Linked DNA regions of Saccharomyces cerevisiae S288C. The gene in region 3 interacts genetically with the main gene of each other region. Each region holds a gene or a part of one and is shown on either strand. Other genes may lie near its edges.

Region 1 (9,489 bases), on a different chromosome or scaffold from region 3:
TTTGGAAGCTTGTGATGAAGATCCAGATTTGGTTCAGTTGTGCTATTGTTTACCTCCAACTGAAAATGATGATTCCGCAAATTATTTCACCTCTCATCCTGGTTTCAAACATATCACTTTTATTGGCAGTCAGCCCGTAGCGCACTATATTCTAAAATGCGCTGCCAAATCATTGACACCCGTAGTTGTGGAGCTTGGTGGTAAGGATGCGTTTATTGTCCTAGACTCAGCTAAGAATTTAGATGCTTTATCTTCTATCATCATGAGGGGTACTTTCCAATCATCCGGTCAAAATTGTATTGGTATTGAGAGGGTTATTGTCAGTAAGGAAAATTATGATGATTTAGTCAAGATTTTGAATGACCGTATGACTGCAAATCCACTACGCCAAGGGTCTGATATTGATCATTTAGAAAATGTTGATATGGGGGCAATGATATCTGACAACAGATTCGATGAACTAGAAGCTTTGGTTAAAGATGCTGTTGCAAAGGGAGCTCGTTTACTTCAAGGTGGTTCCCGCTTCAAACATCCAAAGTATCCACAAGGTCATTATTTCCAACCAACTCTTTTGGTGGATGTCACTCCAGAAATGAAAATAGCACAAAACGAAGTGTTTGGCCCAATTTTAGTCATGATGAAAGCTAAGAATACTGACCATTGTGTACAACTAGCCAACTCTGCGCCATTTGGTCTAGGTGGTTCTGTGTTTGGTGCGGATATCAAGGAATGCAATTACGTCGCAAATAGCCTACAAACTGGTAATGTAGCCATTAATGATTTTGCTACATTCTATGTTTGTCAATTACCATTTGGTGGTATCAATGGTTCAGGTTACGGTAAATTTGGTGGTGAAGAAGGTCTTTTGGGTTTGTGCAATGCCAAAAGTGTCTGTTTTGATACTTTGCCTTTTGTCTCCACTCAAATTCCAAAACCATTAGACTACCCTATTCGTAACAATGCTAAGGCTTGGAATTTTGTAAAGAGTTTCATCGTAGGAGCTTATACAAATTCCACATGGCAAAGAATAAAGTCACTGTTCTCTTTAGCTAAAGAAGCCAGCTAGTTTACTTTAGAGGAAGCAACAAACTTATCAATAATTTGGTATTTATTATTATATAAAATGAACTTTTTATGTACAAGATTTATGATTTTTTGATTCTATACACGTTACGAAATTCCTCATTTTACAATGCTTTTTTCAACTTTCTGGAATTGGTCATGAAGCTTGTTCACGTAATCCTTATGCAGTTTTTCCAAATCCCTCTCAGCTTTTCGAACGGCATCATCCTTTTTGAAACTTTTGAATTCCTTTAGAATACTGCCTCTGATAGTTCCTAATGAGTCTTTTAGCGATGACTGCTTATATTCTTCAAATACTCTCTTTAAGTCTTTAGCTACTTTTAACCGGGATTCTGTAGTTGGTGGTGGTAACGAAACTTTCAATTGCAAATCGTTATTTGGGACCCTTTCAGGAGTTAAATTCAGGTTCGCAGCAAGCACCCCACTGATCACAGTTTTCACATCTTTGGGGTCGAAAACTGTTATTAAAAGTGCATTTTTACCTTTCAAGGATGTGGTAGCAATATCTGTAAACTTTCTGTTATTTTTGAACACTAAACTATTGAATACCTTAGGATTAAAATTTCCCTGTTTTATCTCATTCATTTTCTGTTTTTGAATTTCTAAAGTTTTTTTGAATTGAGTTTCTGCCTTTTTCAGCAGTTCATTCACGTCAATTTCATCTTCTTCGACTTTCTCAGTAGGGGTAGAACTTTTTTTCTTCAAAATTATGAAAGATTGACTAAAAGAACGATTAAATAGACGAGGAACGGTGACTGGTCTACAATTTAATCTAGCTGTGGTTAAAATCATTATTTCTTGCTGTTATTTTTCTTGTCAGGGACTGCTCGCCAAAGTTTCCATCTTTAAGCTTACGAATGGACGTATTTAATAAATTGATGTTCTGTTTCCGGACGGGTCCTTATGCCAAAAACAGAATGAATATGCGGCGAATAAATAGCAACGTGAATAAGTAAGTCATGACAGAATATAGAACGGGAATTTGGACGGTTGGTTCAATGAATATTTTTAAACTATTTACCTAGATAAATTAAAATTGTAAAACTAAAAAAACCTAATGAAGTAATCAAAACCCTTTTTTCGATAATCTAACATTTACATGAGTTGATGGATGAAGTGACTGCATTCGCGGTTCTATTCCACAAAAATTTTTTTATTCATAATTCGATGGATATTTGAAATCAGTCAACTCGTAGAAGTTCTCCTTTGTGTTTCTAATACTGACAAATCTGCTTAAAATGTTTGGACCACCAGCCTTATCGTCGGTACCACTCATTCTTGCGCCACCAAACCATTGCTGAGAAACAACGGCACCAGTACACTTATCATTTATGTAGAAATTTCCTGCGCTAAACTTCAACTTCTCATCTGCGTATTCAATTGCTTTACGATCTTTGGCAAAAATAGCACCAGTTAAGGCGTATTGACTCGTATTATCGATAATATCACAGATTTCATTAAATTCAGTATCTGGATACTCGTAAACAGTTAATATAGGGCCAAAAAATTCTGTTGACATATATGGATGATCTGGTCTCTTGGCTTTTATGACTGTGGGTCCGACAAACCAACCTTGGCTTTTATCGTATTGTCCACCGTAAAGAATTTCCAACTCGGGGTCTTTCTTTGCATCTTCAATTACTTTAACTAATTTGTCGAAACTTTGTTCATGGATGACAGGACCCATAAATCCCCGCAAATTCCCACCAGAAATTGGACTTGCGGATGTGTTCATTGGGACAACATTCTGTGACTGCAATATGCCAAACATATCGGATAAGAATTCTTCACTTTTTGACTCTGGAAGATATAACCTGGAAGCGGCAGAGCACTTTTGGCCTTGGAACTCGAAAGTGCCTCTAATAGTAGAGAGTACTGCATGTGATATATTTGCACTTGGGTGAACTAGATGGAAATTTTTACCACCTGTCTCACCAATAATACGGGGGTAATCTCTGTACTTCCCTTCAACAACGCCACTTTGTATTTTGCCATACAAACTCTTAAAGACATTTGTAGAACCGGTAAAATGCAAGGCACCAAAATCTTTATCAGCTAATACCTGGTCAGTAACTTGAACTGGATCACCTGGAATGAAATTTATGACACCCTTTGGCAATCCCGCTTCTTCCAAAACAGTCATCAATAAGTAATTTGAAAGGGCAGCGGTTTGTGAAGGTTTCCAGACAACTGTATTACCCATCAAAGCTGGAGCCCCAATCAAGTTTGCAGCAATAGCAGTAAAGTTGAATGGTGAAACAGCATACACAAATCCCTCTAAAGGTCTGTATTCAGCTTTATTCCAAGTACCATCCGCTGACTCTACGGGTTGTTGAGCATACAAGTCTGATGCATACTTGACATAGTATCTAAAAAAGTCAGATAATTCCGTGATACAGTCGATTTCTGCCTGATACACATTTTTTCCCTGGCCCAGCATTGTAGCAGCTAACATGTCATAACGATACTTGGTGGAAATTAAGTCAGCGGCTTTCAAAAAAATTGCAGATCTGTCATAAAACGGTAGATTGTACCAATCCTTTTTGGCATCCTTGGCGGCTTTTACAGCATTCATGACATCTTTTTCCGTGGCTTGTGTGACGTTTGCCAGTACTTGTTGATGGTTCGCAGGGTTAGTCTGCGGGAAAAGCGCTCTTTCATTATTGTCATATATCCTTTCCCCATTGATGACCAGTGGCACTTCTAAAGAAGAACTTTTGAATTTCATCAAGGAAGCCCTCAGTAAGTCCCAGTCTTTTAAGTCTATGTTTCTAAATGGCTTAACAGGTTCATTTCTTATGTGCTTGGGGGGCTTGATGTGTCCCAGTTGTGAGAAAGATCTCTTGAAGTATATAGATTTGAGGCACCTTGCTGATAGCATAATTCCTGTGAATTTGAATTGGCCTTCTATACAATATAGATTATATTAACTTGTTTGTATTATTACATATTTTCCATGGATATACTTCTGGAGTAAAGTCAGCTGTCCTGTCACCCTTATATAGTAGGCCTATCCAATTTTTGTCGGCTTCGGAGTTGGCTTCCCGAGATGTCCGATGGCGTAGATAAGCATTGTTACTGTCCCAGATAGCACAATCTATTGCTTAAGTAGGTGTGAGTCCTCTCCAGATGCTGTCATAGATGAGTGTGTTTCTTCTGATGTCGGCGATTTCGGTGAAGATGGCAAGGGATATGTTTTGATGCCATTGCCATAGTAGCTCTTGGCTCTTACAAAACCCAGTAAGAAATTCGAACTGAAACACCAAGTTATCACACCACAAAAAATAACAAATAGTGTTTTCCAGTTTAATGGATCTATGAATGAGTTGATAATGTCTCCGAACAATTTTGCGCTCAACGTTGATCTTGCACGGAAAAAGATATCGTTATTTCTGTCCATACACTGTTTCCATATAGCACATTGTTCGCCCAGAGCCGGCAAGCCAGGCGTCTGGTTACAACGATTTGTGAGGTACTGCTCTTGACAAATTCTGGATTCGTACTGCAGTTCATGTTTTCTTTGTTCCCATGTGGATTTCAAGTCCTTTTGAAGCGCTATGATAAATGAGAGTATAAAACTAAAAATCACTACTGTAGTGATCGCATTGAGAAATAACTGTAAATATGACATTAGGGCATATGACGCTCTTGATGCCGGATGTGAATTGGGTGACCATGGTTTAGGCAACTTGAAAGCTTCATTTTGGTCGTAAAATTCATCTATTTTATTGTGATTTGGTTTAGTAAGAGAATAAGTTTTAATGCCGTCCTTATCTGAATAGAAGTAGTTGTGTGTATTGAATGAAACCTGAATTGGTTGATATTTTGATCTTGATCTTAATTCCCTCTTGATTATTTCCGAATCGAACGCATTTGCGTACTGGCTTGACTTGTGGTTGCCAAGTGATGATTTGATCTCATCTTCGACTTCTTCATTTCTGATTATGTCTTCACCCTCTGCGTTGTTATTCGAACTTTCATTGTCATCTTGATTGGCCGATGGTGGTAATGGCACAACACCTTCAACTTTAGTAGCTGCGGCCACACCTAAATCGGTCGGTGATAATAATGCCTTTATGACAGTTGAACGATGCGGTGAAACAATGTTCTCGACCTCTTCTACACTTTGGTCTTGGCTTTCATTCTTCTCTTGCTTTTGTCTTTCTTCTGGGGTAGCCTCGATTTCTTCCACCACGGCATTCTCAGTCGCTTCAGTATGAGTTTCGATTGGCTCGTTATTATATTCTTCTTCAAAACTTGTATCATCAACCTCATCTATTTCCATTCGGTCATCTTCTTCCTCATCAGCTTTAGCAGCACTAAAATCCAATGTATTTCGCAGAGGTGATGGGCTCGAGGGAAAATGGGGCATAAATCGGTTGATAAGCTGTGGTGACAAAGTTGGCCCCTGCTTAGATATACTTAGGTCGGAGAGGCCTCCTAACTCCTCGTCAACGTGTTCCATTCCGCTAGTGAAACTGTCTCTTATGCTCAAATTTTCAAAACTTTCCATATGGAAGATCCTATATAACGTTATAATACAACTACTCAATAAGCAAGTATTGCGATAAACAAGCGACTATTTGATGAGATGCTATACCTTTGATGAAATTAAGGGCCCAACTTGCTTTTGTATCTTCTATTGTCTTAGGGAATTTTGCTCTATTTCATCTAAAGTTTTTTTTTCTTTACTTTTTGTTTTCGCCAATACAGGCGTCGCAAAGTGCAGCAAGAATATTTAGCGAGTTATTTGCTTCCACTTAGATCGGTGAACAAGTTGAAATATTCATTGAATGTCATATCCTCTGTACCAAGAGTTTCCTTGTCAGTGATGTCCAAGGGAATAATTTTGCTTTTCAAGAAACGGTCCTGACTGCCACCGGTTTTAGTTTCAACATATAATGGCTGCGGAAACCTTTGCAAGTCATTTAAAAGCTTGCAACAGAGCTCGCGACCTTCTTTTTCCAAAAGTTTTCCCCTTCTTAAAACTAAGTACGAGCCACCATCTACACAAATGGTGGTTTTATCATCTTGAAGTATCTGGGCTCTTGTTAATGGGACATCCAACACGATCCAGTCGTGTTTCAAATCACTGTAACTCCAGATGAAGGGTTTGCATAATGAAAGGCATGTGTCTTTAGAAGCGTTTATTATTCGGTGAAGAAAAAGGTACCTTTCATCAGGTGAAGTATTCCGAACCGATAGAATTGGAGACCTATATATATGATAACACCACTGTATCAGATTGACCATATCTACGTCTTTTCCCCGGATTTGATTTGGTAATAGAAACAATTGCTTCATCAATTCTTTAGTGTGCTTGGATGAGTAAGCAAAGCTATCGATAATTCGTGAGGCTATCTTTTTCATTGAAAACACAATTTCATTTTGTGCCCCAAATGATCTATTGGCTTTTGGCAATAAGAGGGTTTCAATTCTTATGTATTTTTCCGTTTGATTTTCAAAAGTGGTTTGAAACTGTATAGGAGCTTCAGCTGAATTGTGACCTAGTGAGATTTCTAATGGTAGAGAAAGGTTTTTAGGGTTTAAGCTATATTTTGGGAAGTCCTTAACGACAATAGCGTTCTTTGCGGTCATTATCTTTGAATGACAATTGTAAATGGCATTATGGTCACGCAAGTTCAGGTACTTTTGAAAAGACATTGCGAATCTCTCATCATTGAATGAATCAAACTGAGAAACTGCCATTGACGAAGTTATTAATGGACTCATTTCGAGTATACCGATTTGATCCAATGAAGCTATAAAGAATTCATAGATTAACGATTGGTTTGCAAATTTTTCAAGCATTTTCTTGTAAAATTTTGTCGGACTTTTTGATAGTTGCAATTGTGAACTTTTGGATTCAAAATGGTGGTTTTGTCTCATGCTTTCACCACGTTCTCTTGACATAACTTTGCCGCCACCCTTAGTACATGGACCATTCAGGAATGAAACTATATGACAGTAGGCTGACAAACTGCACTGAGACGCCAGTACGGATGAAACGAACAGCGCTAATCCGGTGCAACGCTTGTCCCTTTTAGAACTGATATTCACTTTGTTTGCAATCTTGCATATTTCCCGTAGCAATTTTCTTAAAGAACCCTGAGTAGATTTATCAAACCAGTATGATTCTTGATTGATTTCTGAAATTTTTTTCTCGAAGTAACTGGCATTTAATTTATCAAGATTATATTTGGTCATAAATTCATTTATTGAAAATACAGCATCACGTCTGTGATTCACAGCATTGTGTAAAATCACATGACCTGATTGCTGAATAGTAATTATTGATAGTGGCTCTTGTTGTCTTGTGATGTAATTATTACATAGAATGGAAACTAAATAATTTAGCTCATGAGGATCGCAAATAGCGTCTATAATCATAATGGTCCGTCTTGAAAGTATTTCTTTCTTTGCAGAAGTCAATGTATAGGTGTTGGAAGGTACCAGTGGCAATTCAGCATTTGAGTTTGATTGGTTGCAGAATAGACAAGTCCAAACATTCTGTTCTCGTAGGGAACAAGCCATCGAATAATAGGCGCCACATTTGGTGCATTTTAGATTTTGGTCATAGTTCTGCGTCACAGCATCGCTGGAAAAGGGCTCATATAAGAAATTAGTTGGAGAACACATAGGCACTTCCTTGGCCAAATTTGGTGCTAGATTGCAGTATTGTACAAATACAGGATTCAGTACCTGATCACTATTTTTACTCTTGATATTTTTTTTCCTTAAAAAAAATCAGAAGACAATAATGATAGAAAAAAACTAGGAATTCTTGAATTCATATGCATGGAAGAAAAAGGAATACAGGGAACAGACTTTTCAAAGCGAACAAACAGACCTTAACCGATGGCCGATTTCTTATTGAGACCAATTAAGCAACGTCATAGAAACGAGGACAAGTACGTGTCGGTGGACGCTGCAGACGGATCGGTGTCTAAAATTGAGCCCATCGCAGATTTTGTAATTAAGACAAAACTATTATCCGCTAATGGGCCGGAAAAACTGCAAGATGGCAGGAAGGTGTTCATCAATGTTTGTCACTCTCCGTTAGTGCCCAAACCTGAGGTCGATTTTAATGCAAGGATAGTGTTCCCGCTCATCATCCAAAACGAATGGGAGATTCCTATTATTACATCCTGCTACCGCATGGACCATGACAAGAAGGGGCAGGAGTGCTATGTGTGGGATTGCTGCATAAATAGCGATTGCTCGCGCTGGATATGCGATGATATCCAACTGCGAGAGATACTGGTCGAATGGTGCTTGGAGTCATGTGAGATCCGAGATTCGGTGGTATTGTGCAGAGATCGCATTGCATTCCCCAAGATGAAGAAGAAGGGCGCTGAGCTTCCTGCACTAGAGGTATTGAATGATGAGTTACATCAAGATTACAAGGCAAAAATGCATAAAATCATAGAAGAGGAGGCCGGAGACCCGATGAGTATATTGAGAGGAAGGAATGACGATGGCGATGATAATAATGATCCCGACGATGGAACACTACCACCATTGTTCCCTATCGAGAACAAAATCTCCGGAGCCAAGATAGAGGAGATTGATAAGAACGAGATTGCTCACAGAAACCTGAAACAGGCACCTGCACCTGCACCTGCACCGCACGAGCAGCAGGAGGACGTGCCGGAATACGAGGTAAAGATGAAGAGGTTCAAAGGGGCCGCCTACAAGCTGCGAATTCTTATTGAGAACAAAGCTCCGAACTCGAAGCCGGACCGGTTCTCTCCGAGCTACAACTTCGCAGAGAATATTTTATACATTAACGGTAAGCTGAGCATACCTTTGCCGCGCGACATAGTCGTGAATGCAGCAGATATCAAGATTTTCCATATCCGCAAAGAACGCACACTATATATATATATATAAACTAACATTTCGAGTATTCTTTTGGTTTTTGTTGTGACTAATACGAACGAATATATAAAAGCGGGAAAAAGGAGAGAGATATGATGTGCATCTATAACAGAATTTTTTTTTTTTTTTTTAATCCGGTAAAAAAAAGGGAATATTCTCAAAATTGCGGAGGGAAAGCGATGTTTTCTCTATGTGCTACGTATTCACTCACACTGTAGCCCAAAACATCGTGAATCTTCTCACTGGGTAAGCCCTTGATCTTCGCAAGCTCCAGACTCGTATAATTGGAGCGGACGCATCCAACAGACTGAATCGGCTTCGAGATATCCAATTCGCCATTGGGTAACCGCTGGCCTATTTTGAGATCAACGCATTCAAGTTCGTGGAAGTTGTCTCGGACTTCGATCACGGCGTTTGGAGTCAGACTAGCCATATCCTTTGACAAAAGTTTATCATAGCTGTTCTCGTCGATGATAATGGCGCCCTTGGTAATGAGCCCGTGCAGAATCCAAAATTCCCTGTTCT
Region 2 (7,725 bases), on a different chromosome or scaffold from region 3:
TTCACCCGAGTATTTATTTTGCTTTCGTTATACATATATATATATATATATTCTTCCAGGAGAAATACCTGCCTTCTCTCTTACCCCTTGCTCAATCTAAATCAATCCGTGACCTTAAATCTTCTAGCAGAATGACTAAGTCACAATCGATTTTAGAAATTTGAATAACCAGCTCAGAGATATTACTGACAAAAAACTTGTAATGGCACTGTTTTAGCAAGTTTAAGATAAATGTATCCATTAAGAAAGCATTGATTTTATTCGGACCATAATAGGTAGTCACTATTAGAATATCTAAAAGTTCTAGACCAATACCATCTAATTTGTGCTTATTCAATGCGTTGGTCATAAAATTTCTTATTACAGGCTTGATGAAATCCATTATCACATTTAATTTCAACTTGTCCTTTAAATGGTAGTATAAGTTAGGAAAGTCCTGATAGAACTTCCCCTCAGTAACCGTGTAAGAATTCTTGTTGTCCTTATTGTCATCGAAACGACTATTCAACCAGGTAACGTTTTTCGTCAAATTGATGAAAATAGACCGGGATAGAGTTTCCTGCTCTTCGTTGTTACAACATTTCCTTATTGCTAGATACAATGAGTTGTTCGCATACTGACTGAAAAATCCGGCTTCGTCTAGTTCGCTATAGTGATATAAACATCTCTTGTATATTGGAAGACGAAAATCGTTCGGTATCCCAAACCAATATAAGTTATGCTTACTTATCACCAACAGCAGGTCCGTCTCATCGCCAGATGTATGACAACTTCTCAAATTGCTCCAAAACTTTTCCAATTTTAGTTCTCTTCGAAATAAGTTTCTATTTTGAAACTTTAAATTTAAGATGTTCCTCTTTGTTTCCGATTTAATGAGGTTTTGTATGGATGGATCAGTATGAGTGCACAAGGTTTCATCGTTATTATTGGCAATTAATGATAACGATTCTTTTTCACTATTGATTTTCCTTTTATTTTCCTGAATCAAAGAATCTACACTCAAATTTTTTTGTGGTCTAATGACTAATGAAGATGATCCTGATGAGTTCCTGTTGTTGTTTGGAGTAAACAAACCATCAGAAAACACAGAAGACGCAGAAGAAGATGAAGAAGAGTACATCGTTGATCTGTGATTCGGCGAAGGGGCCACAGGACTCCCCTGAGAGTTTGCTCGAGGAATGGCAAAGTTGTCTATTATGGGGACAGCATAACTAATGAGATTAGTATCTTTATCTATTGTTGTGTCCAGAATTGTTGTCCAATCTGTGGTCCCGGAATGTAGGGCCTCTTCTTTCAAATCGTTTCTTGTTATTCTATGCCTGCTATGGAATAGCCGCTGACTGGGTGGTACGTACTCGTGCATGATATTATTAACCATGAGTTGTAGCTGTTTTGTTATATCCAAAGAATTTGGCTAACGTATCCTTGTACGCGTGATTTATTTATATATACGTGCAGCACAATATATATATATATATATATGTATGCGTGCGCTTGGTTATGGCTCAGTAAAGCGAAAGTAACGGAATAAGCGAGGGAAGGGGGATCTAGCGATGAGGGAATGGCAGTAACAGACTGTTCCCTTACAATACACTCTTGCTAAATTACATCAAGGATAATATACTATTTTAAAACAAAAACCAGCCATTTCCCTAAGGACGCGAAACTTTTGTGACGCGTTTCAAATAAAAAAGAATACTGCAAAACGCAGCACAATAATTAGATAAAACTAGTGGCATATGTCACTAATTAACTATATAGTCACTAATACTGTATATATAGCCGACACAGGCTACACAAAACACAAACGCAAAGGAATTAGGAATGTAGGTAGGTACACCGAGGCTAACTGACACTTCTGGGTCATGGACAAGCTTGTTTTTAGCACATCGTAAGGAATGTAACCACGCTTGAAAATAACAACGATACATATCAAGGTAGTTAGAGAGGCATTCCAGCCATAGATACGCAACCACTTTTTCAATCTGCTATTTGTATTAACTTGTAATTCGCTTGAATTCCAGAATTTATTGACGAAATAGACGAAAAGGGGTAGTTGCAGAACTAGCTCAAGGACTACAAACCAGTATAGCCATTCTGGTTTCTCTGATAGCAGGAAATCGTGTTGCTTTGCGATGTGATCACTAACAACCTTTTGCGCAATCCCTAGTTGCCATTTAGCGGGAATAACCACTGATGAGTCGATGAATATGGTGATGGGAATGTGAACGATGAAGTACCACAAGTAGAATTGTTGCTCACGATGTCCTAGCTTCATTATCTCCGGTCGCTTTTCTCTATATGTTTTCACGTGAGTGGCTCGTTTCTCGTACTTATTTGCTGCGGTTGTTCCTTTTATACCTACTAATTCGTATCCTGTACAAAAGCCGATAATTCTTTACTATGTTTTCAAAGGTTTTTTTTTTTTAAACGATATGCAAATTATTAATTCTTTTGAATATTTCTATGTAATCTAAACCACTTTACAATATACTATATGGAATACGTGGCGAAGAAAATTCCATTATCTCACCTCCGCTTCTTTCTCATCTCTTTCATTTTCTTGTAATGTGCCTTCCTACCGCTCGTAGATTTCTCCTGAATTTCGTTGTATTTACGCTTGAAATACTTATTAGAAGCTTCATCACCCATGAGTGTTTCCAAAATAGTCGACTTTCTTTCCTTCCTGTTCATACGACTACTATAAAACTCACTCTTGTCTTCAATTATGGTACCAATAGCAAACCTCTCTGGCACCTCCCAACGTTGCTTCTTATAATGTCTCTTTGGATCAAGAGCAGCTCTATGTTTAATCAGCAATAAATCTCGTTGAACTTCACGACGCATGTTATCATCTGGCTTTGGTAAGGTAAACCAGTCATTATCGTTTTTGTCGCTCTTGTTGGGTTTTCTTTTATCTTCTGTCTCCACACTAGGCAAGACGTTCTTCTTCTTCTTCTTGTTTGCTAAAGCATCAAATCCGGTTTCTAACTTAGGAAGCTTCTTAAGATTAGTTTCGATCTCTTGAAATTTACTTTCAATTTCTACTTCATCATCATTATTGCCTATCTGCAAAACATCCTCTTGTTGAAGAGAAACTTGTTCCTTCGCTGAATTTTTTACTTCTAGACTGGCACTAGCATCTCTTAGTGCTCCAAATAAGTCTTCCACACTTTGATCCATGTTTAACAGCTCCTTTCTCACGTCCTCTTTAATTGGAAAACTTGACGTCTCATCGCATTTTCTATTTCTTTTCTATCTTCTGTTTTAATATGCTGAAAAATTTTTAGGCCGGCACTAACCACGAATTATGATAAAAGAGAAGGATGTTTAGAGAAAAGGTTTTCGTGTGAAAGGGGGAATTGCGTTGTTAACTGACATAGCTGTCTTCAATGGAATCATAACAATGAAGTTCGAAGACCTCTTGGCAACCAATAAACAGGTGCAGTTTGCTCATGCAGCTACTCAACATTACAAAAGTGTCAAAACTCCAGATTTCTTGGAGAAAGACCCACATCACAAAAAATTTCATAACGCAGATGGCTTGAATCAACAAGGTTCTTCGACCCCATCTACAGCTACCGATGCAAATGCCGCCTCAACTGCTTCCACTCACACAAACACCACGACATTCAAAAGACACATTGTTGCCGTGGATGACATATCGAAAATGAACTATGAAATGATAAAGAATTCTCCAGGGAATGTAATAACGAACGCTAACCAAGATGAGATAGATATAAGCACCCTCAAGACAAGGTTGTACAAGGACAATCTTTACGCTATGAATGACAACTTTTTACAAGCTGTCAATGACCAAATTGTAACATTAAATGCAGCGGAGCAGGACCAAGAAACTGAGGACCCTGACTTATCAGATGATGAAAAAATTGATATACTGACCAAAATCCAAGAGAACTTGCTTGAAGAGTACCAAAAACTTTCACAGAAAGAAAGAAAGTGGTTTATATTGAAAGAACTACTGTTGGATGCAAATGTAGAACTCGATTTGTTCAGTAATCGTGGCAGGAAGGCAAGCCATCCAATCGCATTCGGAGCAGTAGCCATACCAACGAACGTCAATGCGAATTCACTAGCATTTAACAGAACCAAGAGAAGAAAAATTAATAAGAACGGCCTTTTGGAAAACATTCTTTAAGCCAAGATTAACATAAGACAAGTTTGCAAAATCCCCAACTTCACTTCCATATGCATATTCATTTAGGTATATATCGTATATTTGAGAAAAATTCATATATGAAACGTTATTAAAACATGAAAAATAGAATGTGTTATCGGGCTTAACTATATTCTGCCATTCAATGCGTGTTTCTTGACCATCTCTCGCACTACCTCTGACGGTACATAGAATGGGTTATGCTTCTTTGTCTTTTTCGTGTGCTCATATTGTCTTTGGTTCTCGAACTCAACCTCCTGGGTTAAATTTATATTAAAGAACAAGAAATCCTCTATGCTATCATTATTATCTTGAGATTCCATCTCAAATAGTTCAGAAAATCCGGTGTTCCCGAGGTCATCGTATTGCAATTTTTGTTTGTCTACCTCATTACTCAAATTGCTATTGGAGGTGCTTTTGATAGCATCACTACATTTATTATGAAGCATATCCATTAACTCCGTCCTGAGTTGTTCCGACGTGTGTCAACAAAAGGATTTACTAAGAATGTTGTATTTTGAGTTTTAAAAGGACGTGCATATGCACATACATATATATATACATATATGCGTATTTATCATCACTCCGTGCTGTTTAGAAGCTGCACATATTATGCATCTATCGCGATAGTATTGTGAGTTGGAGATAAAGATTTAATCATTTGTGCAACAACCGCTTTCTACTGTAGGCATAGAATTTCGCGCATCCCACCCCTTATTAACAATCACATTTTTTTTTTTTAATATTAATGACTCCGGTGGTCGTGATTGTAATCTTGATAACAATCGCGATCATGATCACGTTCTTTAGCCTCATTATCGAACAGTACTGGAGGTGAATAGGCACACCGTTTATCTAAAAGTTCCATGATCGTGGATTGGTCCCTCAAGATGGAATCATACGTATCTACACCACCGTATCTACTAGTGGTAAATCTCAAAATATCCCCAGTGTTGCCACGGTTCAAAACATCAATGTGGTCCAGTAATAGCTCATACGGATTCGTTCGTGGACGAGGCAGTGCTCCTCTATGAATATTGAACCGATGTTTAATTTTCCACATCTGAGATTCTAATTCAGAATAGTTTCGACGTCTTGCGTCCAATTCTGATTGCGTCCTTGGTTTAACTTCGTAATATAATTGTCTATGTAAGTCTTGGTATTCTTTGGCGAACATAAAGTGATTTGACCTTAATTGCAACTCCAAGCTGCTTGTAGTATATGGTCTTTTCATATCATTTGATTTATCCTTACTCGACCTTTTAATAGAAAACCTCCTGATGAAGTGTGGCACAGCAACCACTCCAAATTTTTCTAGAGGCTTTGTGGGCTTTGTTGAGCTTCTTTTGTCAATTCCAAGGCAAGAAAAGTCGTCTTCATCGGCCAAATATTCATCTTCAAATGTATGTATCGTATCATCAGGCAAGTGTTTATCATCGTAGCCTGTATCTGCTTTAGTTGGAGATTTTACTCGTTTTTGACCACCAGATGTATTTGCGTCGCAATTGCTAATGTATTCTGCACCTAAATACAACTTTTCTAAGTCCGCTGGTAAAGCTGGATCATTGACACCCAGTGGACTTGTCATCGTGAATCGTTGTGTTAAACTAATGAAAGAACCTTCCTTTACATTTTTGTCCACTCTGTTTTTGCCTTTATCTTGATCCTCGTTATCACCATCGGTAAAATCTTGGCCGCTATTAATTCCTGAAGCAACGTTAATACCACCACCAATCCTGCTGTCCAACATCGACAAGGCATGCTCACACCTTCCACCATTTATTGATAGCCCACTTAGTGTCAGTAACCTCGTATAGAATCCATATAGGAAATTTAAATTTGAACACGAAACACCATACTTTTTGGCCAAAATGATGGGCTGATGCAAAAGAATTTGAGCAGGATATTCAAATCGGTGGTAGAAACAATAAGGCTCAAACGGTAAGGATAAATATTCCGGATGTTCGTTTGCCGTAGAGTTGATAAGTTGCAGTTTTTTACCTTTGCAATATTCTACGATTTTCCCAAAATTAATCTCTTCTTCACCTTGTGATTTTACTAGCAAAAACCTTGCAATTTTGCTTCCACATTGTGCAAAGCAAATTCCAAGTAACTCTTTCACCAGATCTTTAAAAATAATTTCTGTGGATTTGTTTTCTAACATTTTCTCATAATCAAATTGTTCATAGATGATAGAAAGGATGTTAAGTGAGATTTTAGGAATAAGCAATTCCCACATTTTCAATGCCATTTGTTTTGGGTCCAAAATTAATTTAGATTTCATCCATTTCGCAACGGTCAATCCAAGAAGGAACCTGCGAACATTTGAACCCTTAATCCCTTGCAATTCTAACGAAGCTGCTTTCGTGTTTTCCAGAATGGTTGGACTTGCTTCAAAATTAGCATCACAATAAGTTAATCCCAAAGTTATTACACATTGATCGTCGTTGACCAATGCATATGATCCAAGCGATAACTGTCTGCATTCAACCTCACACGAAATGGAAATAACACACTTGCACTTCCCTCCAAAATAACTTATGGCTATGGGCTCCAGTTCGCAACCAAAATCAGTGCTAATAAGCACAGTCGTATTGTCGTTCGTGTAATCTGACAACAATCGACAAGTTGTTTCGAAAGACTGTAAGGAAATTGCAGACACTAACACAATGTCAATTGAATACGTATTTGCACCGTTATGTTTTAATTTGTGGTGCAGCTCTTTAATATCCTTAGTGAGAATGTTTGGCGTGTAGAAATTGGCGCCTAGTTTTGTCGATTTCCAGGCAACTAACTCGTCACTAGACACATATTGCGAGACCAGTATTATAAAAGAGTTGCTCAAACTTAGTCTCCATCCTAGAAATTGTGCTGCTGGTGTTTCTCCAACTGTAAAAAAAAGGAAATTTAAATTTACATTTATATGTTAGTAAATTTTTGTTCGAATGTCTGTTTTCTTAAACTTCTTTGCCATACCTATTAAGCACGTTAATTGGTTTTCTTCCATAACTAATGCGAGTTCTTGCCTTCAAAAAAAGAAAGAAAGGCTTAGGAATACAATTTGAACTAGTATTTGTATCGTGCGTCTATGTGCTTTTGTTAATATGAAGCGTATTATTAACTCCATTCATTTTACTTTTCATTCAAATTTTGATAGTATAATATGCCTTTGTCTGCCCGGACCCTGAATTACTGACACAAAATGAAGGGATCAGTGGCCCTGAAAAAAAAAAAAAAAAAATAAACGGCGCGCGGAGTAATTATGATTATGATTATGGTTATGATTATTATTACAACTCACTATTCTAAGTCTATATCGTAAATAAGGGTCGTGTCCGTAGAATTCCCCTGCCAGCCTCTGTTGCCACTTGTGCTTATTATAAATCTTGAAGTGGGGTCGAGGTATAAGTTTGATATAATACCACCGTGATGGCCCGGCACGATGAGGAACGGCACTTTAGAACTCTTTGTAGTCGAATTCGAAGCATCTACTGCAATTTCAACGTTGTACAATCTGATATTATCCCGCGATGCACATAGTAAATGCT
Region 3 (8,327 bases):
TTGCAACTTTCCGGGAAAAAAGGTTCAAACGGATATTGCAAATAATACATGATCAGCACATTTTTCAATTCTTTGCTTATGTGATCTCCCGCCATATATAGTCTTAACGCAAAGGCCATACTCTTGCAACTGATAATGGGTGGTACACCTGCATACCCAGTACATAATCCAGGAATAATAAGACCATCAATGTCTTTTGGAGAATGCATCAAGGCATTCCACATGGCGTTGAAAACCGGTTCAAACCCTGTCTTGAGGGGATTCTGCGGATTAAATATAGGAGCTGATGGGGCTACAACGGTCGGAACATGAATAATATACCTAATACCATCTCTACATTCAATTGTTTTCTCTTCAAGACATCGCTGTAGGTCAACCACTGTAGCAGATCCGACCGTGTGATATCTTCCTCCAAGCTGATTCCTGAACCATGTTTCAAAGGGCTTTCCCCCGAAATAATTATACAAAGCTTTATCGAACCCTCCTCCAAGATAGCCATACGAGTTACCAGGTGAAACAATTGCGTAAGAGTGGCCATGATGGATTGCATCACCTTTACGCATTGAATCCATAAGAGATTGAAGGTGCCCATGATGAATACAAAGATACTTATCATTTTGAATATATGCATGGGGTATAGATTCCTGCCAGAGATTGGTAACTACTTCGTTTGTATCGCATAATATTATTCTCATTTTTTTTACCCCGTTCAAAAGTGAGTGTCTGTTTAAAGATCCTGTCATGATTATGAATGTCTGCAGTTTTCCCAATTTTCCCAGTTCAAAATTACGAAGATGGCTTGGTGGTTTAAGATGTATTATGGACCATTATACATAGGGGATTCAATTCGTAAAGTTTAACCGTTAATAAGAAACACCCACACCTGAAGTTTTTACGAAAATCAAATGCTTCTCTTCTGTTATTGTTTGCTGCTAGGAACACGTATAGGAACACGAATAGGAACACGAATATTTATTGTTCATCCGATTATATCGCCATTGATTGCAGTGGAAACGGCAAAAAAAAAAAAGCATATAAAATGGAGATTTCTTGATTATTCATTATTAAAAAATCCTTTATATGTTACAGTGCATGGAAGCCATCGTTCAGAAGTTGAACGAGCACGAAAAAGAATAAAATACATAACTTGTACAAGGAGAGAATTTCTGCCGAGAGTCCCTATTTCTTTCTACCAAAGATTTTTTTCAGTTTTTTGCCGAAACTACCCTTCTTTTCTTTTGTAACGCTGACTTCCTGTGCTTGTGGGAGCCTGCTTTCGCCGTTCTCTGGATTACTAGAGAAGCGTAACCTATTGGTCATCGAAGGGTTTGAATTTTTTGCAGGTTCAGCTTCACTGGCAGCTCTTAAAGATAACCCGCTGAATTTCTTGTCCACCTTTTTACTTGTAATGGCAGGATCGGTGGTAGTATGATTAGGACTTGAGACTCCAGGGGAAACCACATTATTTTCCTTTTGCTTACTTTTGCTCTTGAAAAGCGAAAAAGCACCGTTACCACCATTACTATTTTTGTTACCGCTGGTTTTATTGCCTTCTGTTTCTGTGTTGTATTTTGATGGGCCTTGGTTGAAAAATTGGGACTCATCTTCTGAGTCTGAATCCGCAAATCTTGATGAATGACCCAAATATTTGAAAAACTCCTGTGCTGTATCGGTTCGATTCACATTTGTGCTATTCTGGCTAGCTTGCCCATTATAGCTTTCACTCAATGCCTCCTCAAAATTACCATTTCTCAAAGAAAGCTTTTTAAATCCGAGATGGGATTCATTGCTTCTCGTCTTCTCAAAACTAGATTTGCGAGGAGGTGGTTCTTTGGGGTACAAAATACTATTCATGTCCTTCGTTGAAGGTTTATTGTTTTGCGCGATCTGTGATCCTCTCTTTATATTCTTATTGATTTGGTTTTTAGGTTTATTTGGGCCATTTGACTCATATACACTTGCGGGCTCTTGAATTTGCTGCGAATTTTTAGACAGAGAAGCCATAACCGAATTTCTTTTTGGTTTACCCTTCTCTGGGGTTCCTAGGGGTATAGCAGAATGGCGTTTATTGTTTATTTTCTCTGGGGGAGAAGGCGAATTTGATCTGATGCTTCTGAACTGGCCTACTGACTGAGGTCTTTTTATAGAAGATCGTTTTAAACTTGCTCTGCGTGATACGCTGTCGGACATCGTCATTTGAGCATTTAATCTCGTATTTTCAGCAGTCGTAAGAGACAGGTATGCGCCATTGGCGGGAGAGTTATCAGAGTACATGGATGAGTCATGGTTGGACGATCCTGACGATTTTTTAAGAGCAGATTTGATTGGTGTAACTACTTTCGTTACAGGAACCATAGGAGCTTCAGGCTTGTGAAACTTTTCTTGCTCAGCTTGTTTCGATTGGTTTTTTCGAGAAAGGTAGGTATTTGAGGTCCTTAAATACTGAGCCAAAGAAGGCGTTGGTTCTGTTTGATTAGAATGATCGGTGTTCTTGGAGGAATTCGACTTGCTCGTTTTCTGATCGCTTTCTTCTACTGTATCGAAGAATTCATCCTTAGTATCGCCAACATTCCCTTTTTTGGAAGAAGTATTAGCACCAGAAATTTTCTCACAACAATTGTCTGGCTTTTCAACTTTTTTTGAACTCTCGGTCCCTTCCAAGGTATCCTTCTCTTCTATTGAGCGGGATTTTTCATCAAGGTCTTGTGTGGGAGACGATGTTGTGTCATTCTCTAGATTTTTATTGCCATTTTCTGGTTTGGAGTTTTCAACTGATCCTTGGGCCGAATAACTGCCGCTAGAAGAAATGTTGTTCAGTTGTTCAACCGACTTGTCATCCACTTCGGCCTCCGGAAGAGGATGTTCTGCTACTGGTTTATTCCCCTCCCTCTTCTCTTCGTTGTCGTAATTAAAAGTTTTCTCAAGAGTAGATGCTTGACGGTTATTTTTTGGCCATTGTACATCGCCTTTTACAGTTTTTTCGCTTATGAAAACATCTTCTTGATCAGAATTTAAAGGTTTTTCCTTCCCTTTTTCTTCAATAAAACTTTCTAACTCAATGTTTTCATGTATTAGTTTGCTTAGATCATCTTTTTCAATGTTTAGTGAAGAAGGTTTTTCTAGATTATTTTCGCTATTGACTACTGTTTCGGATTCGGAAGAGTTAGAATTATCAAGTTTCAACTCTTGGTCTGTTTCTTCACGAACTTGTGTTTCAATGAGAGGAACATTTGAATTTATTGGATGTTTCTTGGCAAGATTTCTCTCCTGAACCGCCTTTTGGCCTTTTTTTGCTTGTGTACTTGATGTATTCCCTAAAGACGAAGTCTTCTTTGGTTGAGAATGTAAAGATTCCTGCGATACTTTTTTTCTTAAAAGTGAACCATTTCTTGCATTCAAGGCACTGTGGGCAGAGTTGGAACGCCTTAGCAATTTAGAAGTATTGGCATTGCTTGGTTTTTCAACGGGGACCTCAATTGCAACCAGCCCGTTGGGCCCAGGAATATACTTTCGCGTAGTCCTCAAAGGAATAGACCCGCTAGGATTTTCAGTACGGTGTTGTCCCGTTAAAATTCCTCTGGCCTGTGGTCCGCCAAAATCCTTGAACGTACGTTGAGCCTCATCATAGCTTATTCTTTGGTGTGTTTTGGACTTTTGACGTTGTAAACCAGAACTGTTTCTGCTTTGCTGACCTCTCTGGTTAGGGAGACTCGAAGTTCTATTGTGAGACCTAGTTTTGTGCTGCGGTTCCTTCGTTAAAGGAGAATTTAATGAATCTCCCTTCCCCATTGATGACCGTTGGGTAAGGCTGTTTATTTTCCCGGGACGACCTTTACCATCGCTCCTTCTAGATTCCGATGATATACTAGAAATAGAAGACATTCTTTTGGGGGCAGAAGGTTTTCTTAAGTTTGTCATCGAAGCGGATCGATAGGTCGGCCTTTGTTCGTTATCAGATTGATTACCCTTCTTCATTAATAATTTACCGATACTTGCTGCAGCTGCCACTGCTGTCGGGTCCGCCTGTTCCATTTCTGGTGCAGTTGTTCTTCTTCTAAACATTTTTAGGAACGAACGGCTGGTGATTTGTGGAATTGGTTGGTATGGCTACGTGTTGCTGTTGTGTTTTATATGTTTTTATCCAATTTGTCGGTAAAGTAAGGGAGCACTGAAAATTTAGCGAAGAAATGAATACTTCCTTTAAGGTTATCTATCGTCCTTTTTTGCATGTTGACCCTCGCGCCACACGGCCAGCCCGCTGCCGCAGTGAGCTAAAATTGGGCCTGCTTAGCGGCGACGCGACGGGATTTTGCGGATTTACTGTTGACGTTAAAAGATGTGGCAGTGACACCAATTGCAAGAGATTACCTTGACCAATAATTAAGTTATTTGGCTATAGAGTGTGAACATCTATTCTACATACTGCCCAAAATATAAGTACTTGTTTTAATGAAATTAGAAGGAATTAAAGAACACTTTTTTATATATCCGGGGCCGACATCGCCGAGTCCCTTGGCAAATCAACTCCGATGTCTTTCTTGATCGCTAACCAGTAAGAAATTAATTGTAAAGGAATAACGTTAAGTATCCCTTGGAGACAATCTACGGTTTGGGGTACCTCGAGTGTAACAACGTTTCCTTTTTGTTTGTCTTGCTCCCATATCTTATGCCCCTTGTTACAAATGATAATCGGATTGCCCTTCCTTTCTATTATTTGGTCAATGCAAGACGCGATTTTGGGCGAAAAAGCATCCTTTGTCGCAAAGGCGATAATTGGCGGATTATCAGATGCCACAGCTAGGACTCTGTGTCCTAGCTCGTTGGTAAGAATACTTTCAGAATGCACGTAAGAAATTTCTTTCATCTTCGAGGCGCCTTCCAAAGCAGAGGCAAATTGGTAACCTCTTCCTAAAAGCAAAAATGTATCATGCTGTTTTAGTTTCTTGTCACACAATTCAATAATCAATGGTTCAAGCTCCAAAACTTCTTTTATTTGGCTTGGGACTATAGTTAAGGCTTGAATTATTTCTTTCCTCCTTTCTATTTTAGACACCAAATCTTCCGACATCCATAGGGCAATCATGACTAAAGCGATGTATTGAGAAGTATAAGACTTGGTTGTTGCAATACCTTTCTCGGGGCCTGTGTTTGTATGAACACCGCAATGTGTAAATCTTGAGATAGAGGAACCGCTGCAATTAACTACCCCGATTGTGACTGCCTCTTTTTTGATACAGTAGTTCAAAGCATTAATTGTATCAGTTGTCTCCCCACTTCGAGAAACAAATATGCAAACATCGTTCCTGAAAATGCAACAATTGCGGTCAACAAAATCCAAGGCCAATTCAACGTTTACTGGAACTTCCATTAACTCCTCAAAGATGGGACGGGCAGCTAGGCATGAATGGAAGGAGGCCTTGGATGCAATCATTATTATTCGTTTTGCTCTTCTCAATTCTGTCAACCAATTTTCTAGTCCTCCCAAAACTACTCTGTTTGTAAAGGCGTCAACTCTTCCTCTCATGACATTTTTTGTTGTTTCACACTGCTCGTATATTTCCTTTTGCATAAAATTATCGTAAGGGCCTTTTTTGATTTTGGACAACTCCAATTCTAATTTTTGAACTGTTCTAAATGAAAAGTCCTCGGAACCAATTTTAGAACAATGGATATGAAGCTCCCCATCATAGATATGGGCAATATCATTATCCTCCAAATATACTACTTTACTCACATACCGCGCTAGTGATGCACAATCGGATGACAAATAGAATTCCATGGGTCGCGGCAAGCCGTTCTCGGCTGGCGTTTCTGTGGATGAGCCATGATTGAATGTAGAAGTTGTAGAGTTTCTCAGGTATTGTGAACGAAGGGGGGTGACTTCCTTAAACAAGTGTTATATTTTACAGGTGCGGCAGCCAAGACATTACCAGAACTCTTGGTTTGAGTATTAAGCTTCAAGTAGTCTTCTTCTTGATCCAAATATTCCACCTCGACAAAGTTTACGTCCATGTCAGTTTTACCTTTAACACCAATAACTAACGGGGAACCCTTTCTTGCGGCAACCACTTCATCGGGAAAATGAGAAGAAGTGCATAGCAGACCATAAGAGCCTTCCAATTCTTTAAGTACTAAATTTGTTAATACATGGAAATCGAGGTTGTACCCGAGTTCAATGCTTGTATCATAAATGTGTTTGTACAGTTTAGGAATACATTCGGTATCAGTGTCACTTTTGAACACATAGCCCTTTGCCATCAATAAGGCTTTCAAATTAGCGAAGTTGGTAATAACCCCGTTGTGTACCACAACAAATTCATTAGATGGATCTGAGTTATGTGGATGACAATTTGCACGTCTTAGCCCTCCATGTGTTGCCCGCCTAGTATGGGCAATGCCACAATGCGAAATAAAGGGCAGGTTCTTATTAAGATTGTAAAGGTCGATTTCTTCCTTCAAACTGCTTATTTTACCGGTTTGCTTATAAATATTGAGAGACTCCAGCTCATCACCTTGGATCGAAATTCCACTGGAGTCATATTCCTTGTACTCCAATGCCTGTAACCCTTCGATTAAAGTGTCGATGATTTCTCCTCTTGTCTTCTCAATTAAAAAATTGCAATAGCCAAAAATGCCACACATTCTTCTTCTTATATTGGGTTTTTAATCTAGTTTATTGGATCATCTTTTGAAAGTCTTTTTTACAAATTCCTTTTGTTTTATAATTTAATTATAAATGTTCAAAGACGTTTCTGAATTGTAAATATAATTCAGGGGACGGCATCAGTTTGATTCCATACACTACGTGCTAGTCTAGCCCAGCATGACTAAAACGAAAAGGGGCGCCTTTAAAAATGAGGAAGAAATCCAAATCCTAATGACCTTCAAGCGCATTTTTGGGGCTGATGTTTTAGTTCGAATGTCTCCTATTGTTAAAAGAAAGACTGCCTCTTACCTGCTTTGAGAGAGGCTGATTATTAAGAACACAGGACCCTTAAATCGGCGGCTTGTGAAATTTCTCCGAATTAAAATTCTGGATGTTCAAGAAAAATATTCTCTTCGGCCCTTTTATCGTGAGAGTAATATCGAAGTGTGCAAGGAAAAATCAAAAACGTGAAAAAACTTATACGGTTAGGTTTGGGCGGCTCGATGCTTGATGGTGATAATGTCTCTCAAACGTTCTATGTGTCGACGGAAGCCAAATTTGGGCTATTTCCATTATCACTACTTGATATAGAAAAAATACTGGTACTGCTTCTTGATTTAGTGATTAATCTTTGCTCCACTATATATTTATAAACCTCATCATTATAAACAAAGACTTTCATAAAAAGTTTGGGTGCGTAACACGCTATTATTTACTAGTATCGACGACGTATCTACCCAAAATCTTGCCCTTTTCCATCAAGTCATAAACCTTTGGTAATTCAGATAATCCAACAATTTTGATTGGTGATTTGATCAAACCTCTGCTAAAGAAGTCTAAGGCTTCTCTCGTATCAGCTCTGTTACCAACATAAGAACCCTTGATATTGATGGACTTCACCACATGAGAGAATACCTCTGATTTAACGTAGGCGTTAGCGGGCAAACCAACCAAAACGACGGTACCACATGGTCTAACATATTCCGTAGATAGAGAAATAGCGGCTTCAGAAACGGAAACGTTAATGACACCATGAGGGCCACCTTTGGTAGCTTCTTGAATGTCAGAAACCATATTCTTTGTTTTAGTAAAGTCGATGAATACTTCACCCCCCAATTTCTTGAAAAGTTTTTCCTTTTCCTCACCTGCATCAATACCTAGAACTCTGTAACCCATCGCAGTTGCATATTGAACGGCCAAGGAACCCAAGCCACCTGCAGCACCAGAGATGGCAACCCAGTCACCAGCTTTCAAGTCTGCCTCTTTTAGTGCTTTATATACAGTAACACCAGCACATAATATTGGGGCTACTTCGGCCAAGTCGGTACCCTGTTGAATTTTGGCGGCTTGAATAGCATCAGCGGTCGCAAATTGTTGGAAAGAACCATCATGAGTGTAACCAGATAAATCAGCATCTGGACAATTTGATTCATGACCTGATTCACAGAATTCGCATGTCATACAAGAACCGTTCAGCCATTTGATACCTGCTAAATCACCGACTTTCCAGCCCTTGACATTGGAACCTAGTTTGACAACTACACCAGCACCTTCATGACCACCTACTAATGGTAGTTTAACAGGTAATGGCCAATCGCCGTGCCAAGCATGTAAATCGGTGTGACATACACCAGAATATTTAACGTTGATTAAAATTTCATTTGGCTTAGGCTCGGGGACA
Region 4 (4,816 bases), 210 kb from region 3:
CTCATTGGGAAGGTAAAATGCATCTTGCGTCTGACTCAATATCCATAAAATCTATTTTCACGCATTTTGCCTGCTTCAAAGAAATCTATCGCAAATATTCCTACTAATCATGTCTATAGCAAGTTATGCCCAAGAGTTGAAGTTGGCTTTACATCAATATCCAAACTTCCCTAGTGAAGGCATTCTCTTCGAAGATTTCTTACCCATTTTCAGGAACCCAGGTCTTTTCCAGAAGTTGATCGATGCTTTCAAACTGCATTTAGAAGAAGCTTTTCCAGAAGTTAAAATTGATTATATCGTCGGGTTGGAATCCCGTGGGTTCTTGTTCGGACCAACTTTAGCTTTGGCCCTAGGTGTTGGTTTCGTTCCAGTCAGGAAGGCAGGTAAGCTACCTGGCGAATGTTTTAAGGCTACGTACGAAAAGGAGTACGGTTCTGATCTTTTTGAGATACAGAAAAACGCTATTCCAGCAGGTTCCAACGTTATCATTGTTGATGACATTATTGCCACTGGTGGTTCTGCTGCTGCAGCCGGCGAATTAGTTGAACAACTCGAAGCCAACCTTTTGGAATATAACTTTGTTATGGAGTTGGATTTCTTGAAAGGCAGGAGTAAGTTGAATGCTCCAGTGTTCACTTTACTGAACGCTCAAAAGGAAGCGTTGAAAAAATGATATGTTTCACGTCCTGACCCATATTCAAGCTTCCTTTCTGCCGGTTTCAAGCAATTTATTTTTCTTACTTCTCCTTACTCTCTCAATTTGGTTGTATAATATTTACTTTTTAGATTGAAAAATATTCAATCCACTTTTCTGCTTTGTGCCACAAAGTAGTCTATTTAGTTTTTTATCTATTATATGCTTTTAAAGAGTTTGGAAATCGAGACCTGCATATGCAATAGTAATATTCAAGGGTCCTTTGATTCTGACTCTAAGCGAGCATTTGCCTCCTGAACTTCTCTTAATGACGTTCCAGGAACAACACTCCAGTCTATCATTTTCTCTCCGCGGGTATTGTATAGCCAATCGTTTATCATTTTGAAATGGTTGGTACCAAAAAATCCTCTACTTGCACTTAATGGAGACGGATGCACTGACTTCATCACCATGATATTAGGGTACTTACTACCGCTTCCAACGGAAGTAGATCCCAACAGAGACTCTACTAATTTGATAGCATTGTTCCCCCATAAGAGGAATACTAAACTCTTACCGTCGGCCTCTCTGTCCTGGATCAACAACTGAACTACCCTTTTTGTAAAAGTTTCCCAACCATGCTTAGAATGCGAGTTTGCATTATGTGCTCTTACAGTTAACGAGGTATTAAGCAATAAAACCCCTTGTGAAGCCCAGTGAGTTAAATCTCCCACTTTATTATCTTCAACAAAATCAGGATACTCTTGCTTCAGTTCCTTATATATGTTCTTTAATGACGGTGGTGCTGGTGTAGGGGGTTTGACGCTAAAAGCCAAGCCATGCGCCTGATTAAAGTTGTGGTAGGGATCTTGACCGATAATCACGACTTTAACTTTATTAAAAGGCGTTAGCCTGGTCCATGAGTAAATATCCTTTGCAGGCGGAAATACTGTATGATCAGCTTGCTCTTTAGTGACAAACTGTTTCAACTTTACAAAATATGGCTTTTTAAATTCATCCATTAAATGTGGAAACCACGAATCATCAATCGTTTCTAGCTCCAGCGACAGTAGTGTACGTAAATTGCTGCTCAAGTTCTTCGAATATACATCTTTTGCATTTGAATTAGCAGGATATTTGTCCGTGTTTGCCTCCTTTGCGACCGCCTTTGTCTCTGTCTTGATAGCTGCGCCATTTGTTATGGTCATGAAAGTAGCGCCCGATTTACCTTTCTTATTGGGCGCCTCATTAGTGCTTTTCTTTGTACCAAAGAAGTCTTCGATCGTAGTTTGCTTTCTCTTTCGAGCCACCGTCATAACTGAATTTGTTGGCAATCTTCTCATGCACCACATGTATGTGAACGGCTTGTGTACAGCTTCTGATAATATATATCATTATGGATGAATTACGCGTTGCGGACACATTCCAGGTTTTGACAATAGGGAAAATATTGAGTTTATATGTAAAGCTTTTTACAAGTCACTAATGTGAACAACGTGAGGTAATTCCATGGAAAGTTCATATAAGAATAGTTCGAAAACTATCTTTTTTATTCCCACCAGTCACTAGATTCGGCTTTATACATATAGTGGGCTTATCACTGCTCTTGGATAGCACTTTTGCACTACAAATAGACACCATTACGAAGAATTGGAAGAGACTTATATACAGAGTACCAGTAGGTAGAATGGTCACGACTCCATTGCATTCCTCGCCGAAAAGCAGTCTGAAATCTTCAACGACCTCACTGCGCTCAGTACATACTCAGTCTGGTCGTATGGGGCCTAGTGAGCCTAAGCACAGAACAACCAAATCCTGGTCTATATGGGGAGGTAATGACGAGGAAGAACCGGAGTTATCTAATAAAAATAAAGGAAAGGAAACCGCCCAAGACAACAGTCAAGAAAATGACAATGTTTCAAATGAGGGAACACGCTTGCACGATAATCAACAAACAACGATTTTAAAGGAAACCACCAGGATCGAGAAGGGTGAGAAGGACAAAAAAGACAGAAATGCAGCTATAGTAGAAAAAAACACAAGACCACGAGCATGGCCATTCTTTTGGGGCCGTAACAAAAAAGATCCGGAGCCGACGCATAACATTCCCACTGATGCGGATAATAACACTTTATCACGTTTAGCAAATAGTCTAAATCCGGCTCCTCTAACCAACACTTACATACCTTATAAACCTGATGCTATATTGATCAGAGATAAAGGTGTCAAAACTGCTAAGAAATTAACAGATGACATAGGCAATCAGTTTCCTAACATTGTTGTACCAAGTTTCGATATTTTACCGAAACAAACCATATGGAATACAGTCACATCCACAATTTGGAAGTGGAAGACTGAATACTGGGATAGAAGACCTTCATCAAGGGTACGAGAGGGGGAAGAACAGGTGCAGCACTCACAAAATCAGTTAAAAGAGGAAACAAACACAGTTGCAAACGAGGCAAAAGATGAGGAGCGGTTGGAACACAACAGAGGATCTCTATTTAGGGTTGATCCATGGAAAAAAATAAACCTTCTATCAGATTACCAATCTAGGCCCATCAGAGTTCTCATTGTCGGCGTTCATGGGTTCTTTCCAACAAAAATTATTAGACCGTTTATTGGTGAGCCAACGGGTACATCTACCAAGTTTGTCACAGAAGCTGAGGAAATAGTGAAGGAATATTTTGATCAACATAAAGTACCCATTGAAATAAGCAAGATCGCTCTTGAAAGAGAAGGAGAGATATTTGATAGAGTAGATTTCTTCTACGAAGTTATGAAGCATTGGAGCAAAGAAATAAACAATTCTGATTTTATTTATTTTGTTAGCCATTCGCAGGGGTGTCCGGTAACCATTATGCTTTTAGCGAAGCTGATCAAAAACGGCATAATAAACCTTGATAATTCTCAATTTTTCAACGATGAAATTCAGTTTTGTTCGTCCAAAAAAATTATCTCGGTCTTGGCCATGGCAGGTATCAATAATGGTCCATTCTACGGTGCAGATCAAACTTTGTTTGTTCGTGCTTACCAGACGATTGAAAAAGACTCATTGAGGGAGTTATTCGAGTTTCAAAAGTTTGATTCCAAACAATCGCAAAGCTTCATAGAAGGCCTAAGAACAATCATATCAAATAACGTTAAGATTACATTTGTGGGATCCATCAATGATCAACTGGTCCCTCTGTATTCATCCACATGTCTTTTTGCCAACCATCCCAATATATTTCGGGCCATTTTTATTGATAGAGGATCACAAACTCCAGCATTTATCACTCGCATAGTTAAAATTGCTGGTTCACTCTTAAACCTGGGTTATAACGATCACGGAATCATAAAGGAAATAAGCGGATCTCTGGCGGGCACCCTGACAGGAGGTGGTCACTCTACCATTTATAATGAGAAACAGGTCTACCATCTGGGCATCAAATTTGCATTAGAAACAACCGATTTGTCCGAAATGTATCCAATTGAGTACTCACCATATAAATTGTCTGAGTTAGGAGCCAACCCCTATCGTCTGCCATGGTGTATGAGGGGATTGATGTACGAGTCCAACAAGCATTTCAGTAATGAAGAAATCAAGATGTTGTTTAAGGAATTTGAGGAATGGGAGCCTGAGACAAAGCAATTGAAGGACATAAAAAACAGGCTTAATGGTTTGAAATATCGACTCTGATAAAAAATACATCCAGCATGATACCAGCTTGCTTCCGCAAACGAAACATAACTTAAGGTACCGCAATTCAAAAAGGCATTCATACGTACAAATATTAACTATATCTGACATTATTTAGACTATCACAAGCAGTATTTATTTATTTATTTACTTATTTATTCATTTATTCATTTCCTTTTTAGTCTTTTATGCCAGTGAGCTACTGTCGCGAATTGAAAACTGCAAAAAAATAAAATAGGAACTTGGATTCAGAAGTTTTGATAATAAAATTGCATGTAGATGAGAGCCGCGAACTGAATCATACAAAAAAAATATGAAGTGGTGTAGCACATACATTATTATATGGCTCGCCATTATATTCCATAAGTTTCAGAAGTCCACAGCCACTGCATCCCATAATATAGATGATATTCTACAGTTGAAAGATGACACCGGTGTGATAACAGTGACCGCTGACAACTACCCACTGTTAAGCCGTGGTGTCCCAGGTTACTTCAATA

What was found.
Region 1: mutations in YMR084W (region 3) and PUT2 together harm fitness more than expected from each alone (negative genetic interaction), as found in Saccharomyces cerevisiae (one large-scale study listed by BioGRID).
Region 2: mutations in YMR084W (region 3) and NRS1 together harm fitness more than expected from each alone (negative genetic interaction), as found in Saccharomyces cerevisiae (one large-scale study listed by BioGRID).
Region 4: mutations in YMR084W (region 3) and YML020W together harm fitness more than expected from each alone (negative genetic interaction), as found in Saccharomyces cerevisiae (one large-scale study listed by BioGRID).

The regions. Positions count from the first base shown.
Region 1 is NC_001140.6:176,452-185,940, reverse strand, and holds PUT2 (1-pyrroline-5-carboxylate dehydrogenase), read right to left. Parts: upstream 3,965-9,489; coding exon 2,237-3,964; downstream 1-2,236. Other genes in the region: MSC7 (meiotic recombination directing protein), read left to right, coding at 1-1,066; RRF1 (Rrf1p), read right to left, coding at 1,183-1,875; BRL1 (Brl1p), read right to left, coding at 4,181-5,596; GTPase-activating protein NEL1, read right to left, coding at 5,830-7,722; PIH1 (Pih1p), read left to right, coding at 7,942-8,976; YHR033W (putative glutamate 5-kinase), read right to left, coding at 9,122-9,489.
Region 2 is NC_001144.5:243,795-251,519, forward strand, and holds NRS1 (Nrs1p), read right to left. Parts: upstream 4,633-7,725; coding exon 4,306-4,632; downstream 1-4,305. Other genes in the region: MLO50 (Mlo50p), read right to left, coding at 92-1,378; EMA19 (Ema19p), read right to left, coding at 1,793-2,278; FCF2 (Fcf2p), read right to left, coding at 2,530-3,183; IES3 (Ies3p), read left to right, coding at 3,407-4,159; OSW2 (Osw2p), read right to left, coding at 4,923-7,066, 7,154-7,184; SAGA complex subunit SPT8, read right to left, coding at 7,478-7,725.
Region 3 is NC_001145.3:434,943-443,269, reverse strand, and holds YMR084W (putative glutamine--fructose-6-phosphate transaminase), read right to left. Parts: upstream 6,643-8,327; coding exon 5,854-6,642; downstream 1-5,853. Other genes in the region: PDL32 (putative ADP-ribose 1''-phosphate phosphatase), read right to left, coding at 1-743; SEG1 (Seg1p), read right to left, coding at 1,180-4,062; YMR085W (uncharacterized protein), read right to left, coding at 4,481-5,779; alcohol dehydrogenase ADH3, read right to left, coding at 7,355-8,327. UniProt on the Saccharomyces cerevisiae protein: Involved in amino sugar synthesis (formation of chitin, supplies the amino sugars of asparagine-linked oligosaccharides of glycoproteins).
Region 4 is NC_001145.3:228,828-233,643, forward strand, and holds YML020W (uncharacterized protein), read left to right. Parts: upstream 1-2,321; coding exon 2,322-4,316; downstream 4,317-4,816. Other genes in the region: adenine phosphoribosyltransferase APT1, read left to right, coding at 110-673; UNG1 (uracil-DNA glycosylase), read right to left, coding at 907-1,986; OST6 (dolichyl-diphosphooligosaccharide--protein glycotransferase), read left to right, coding at 4,630-4,816.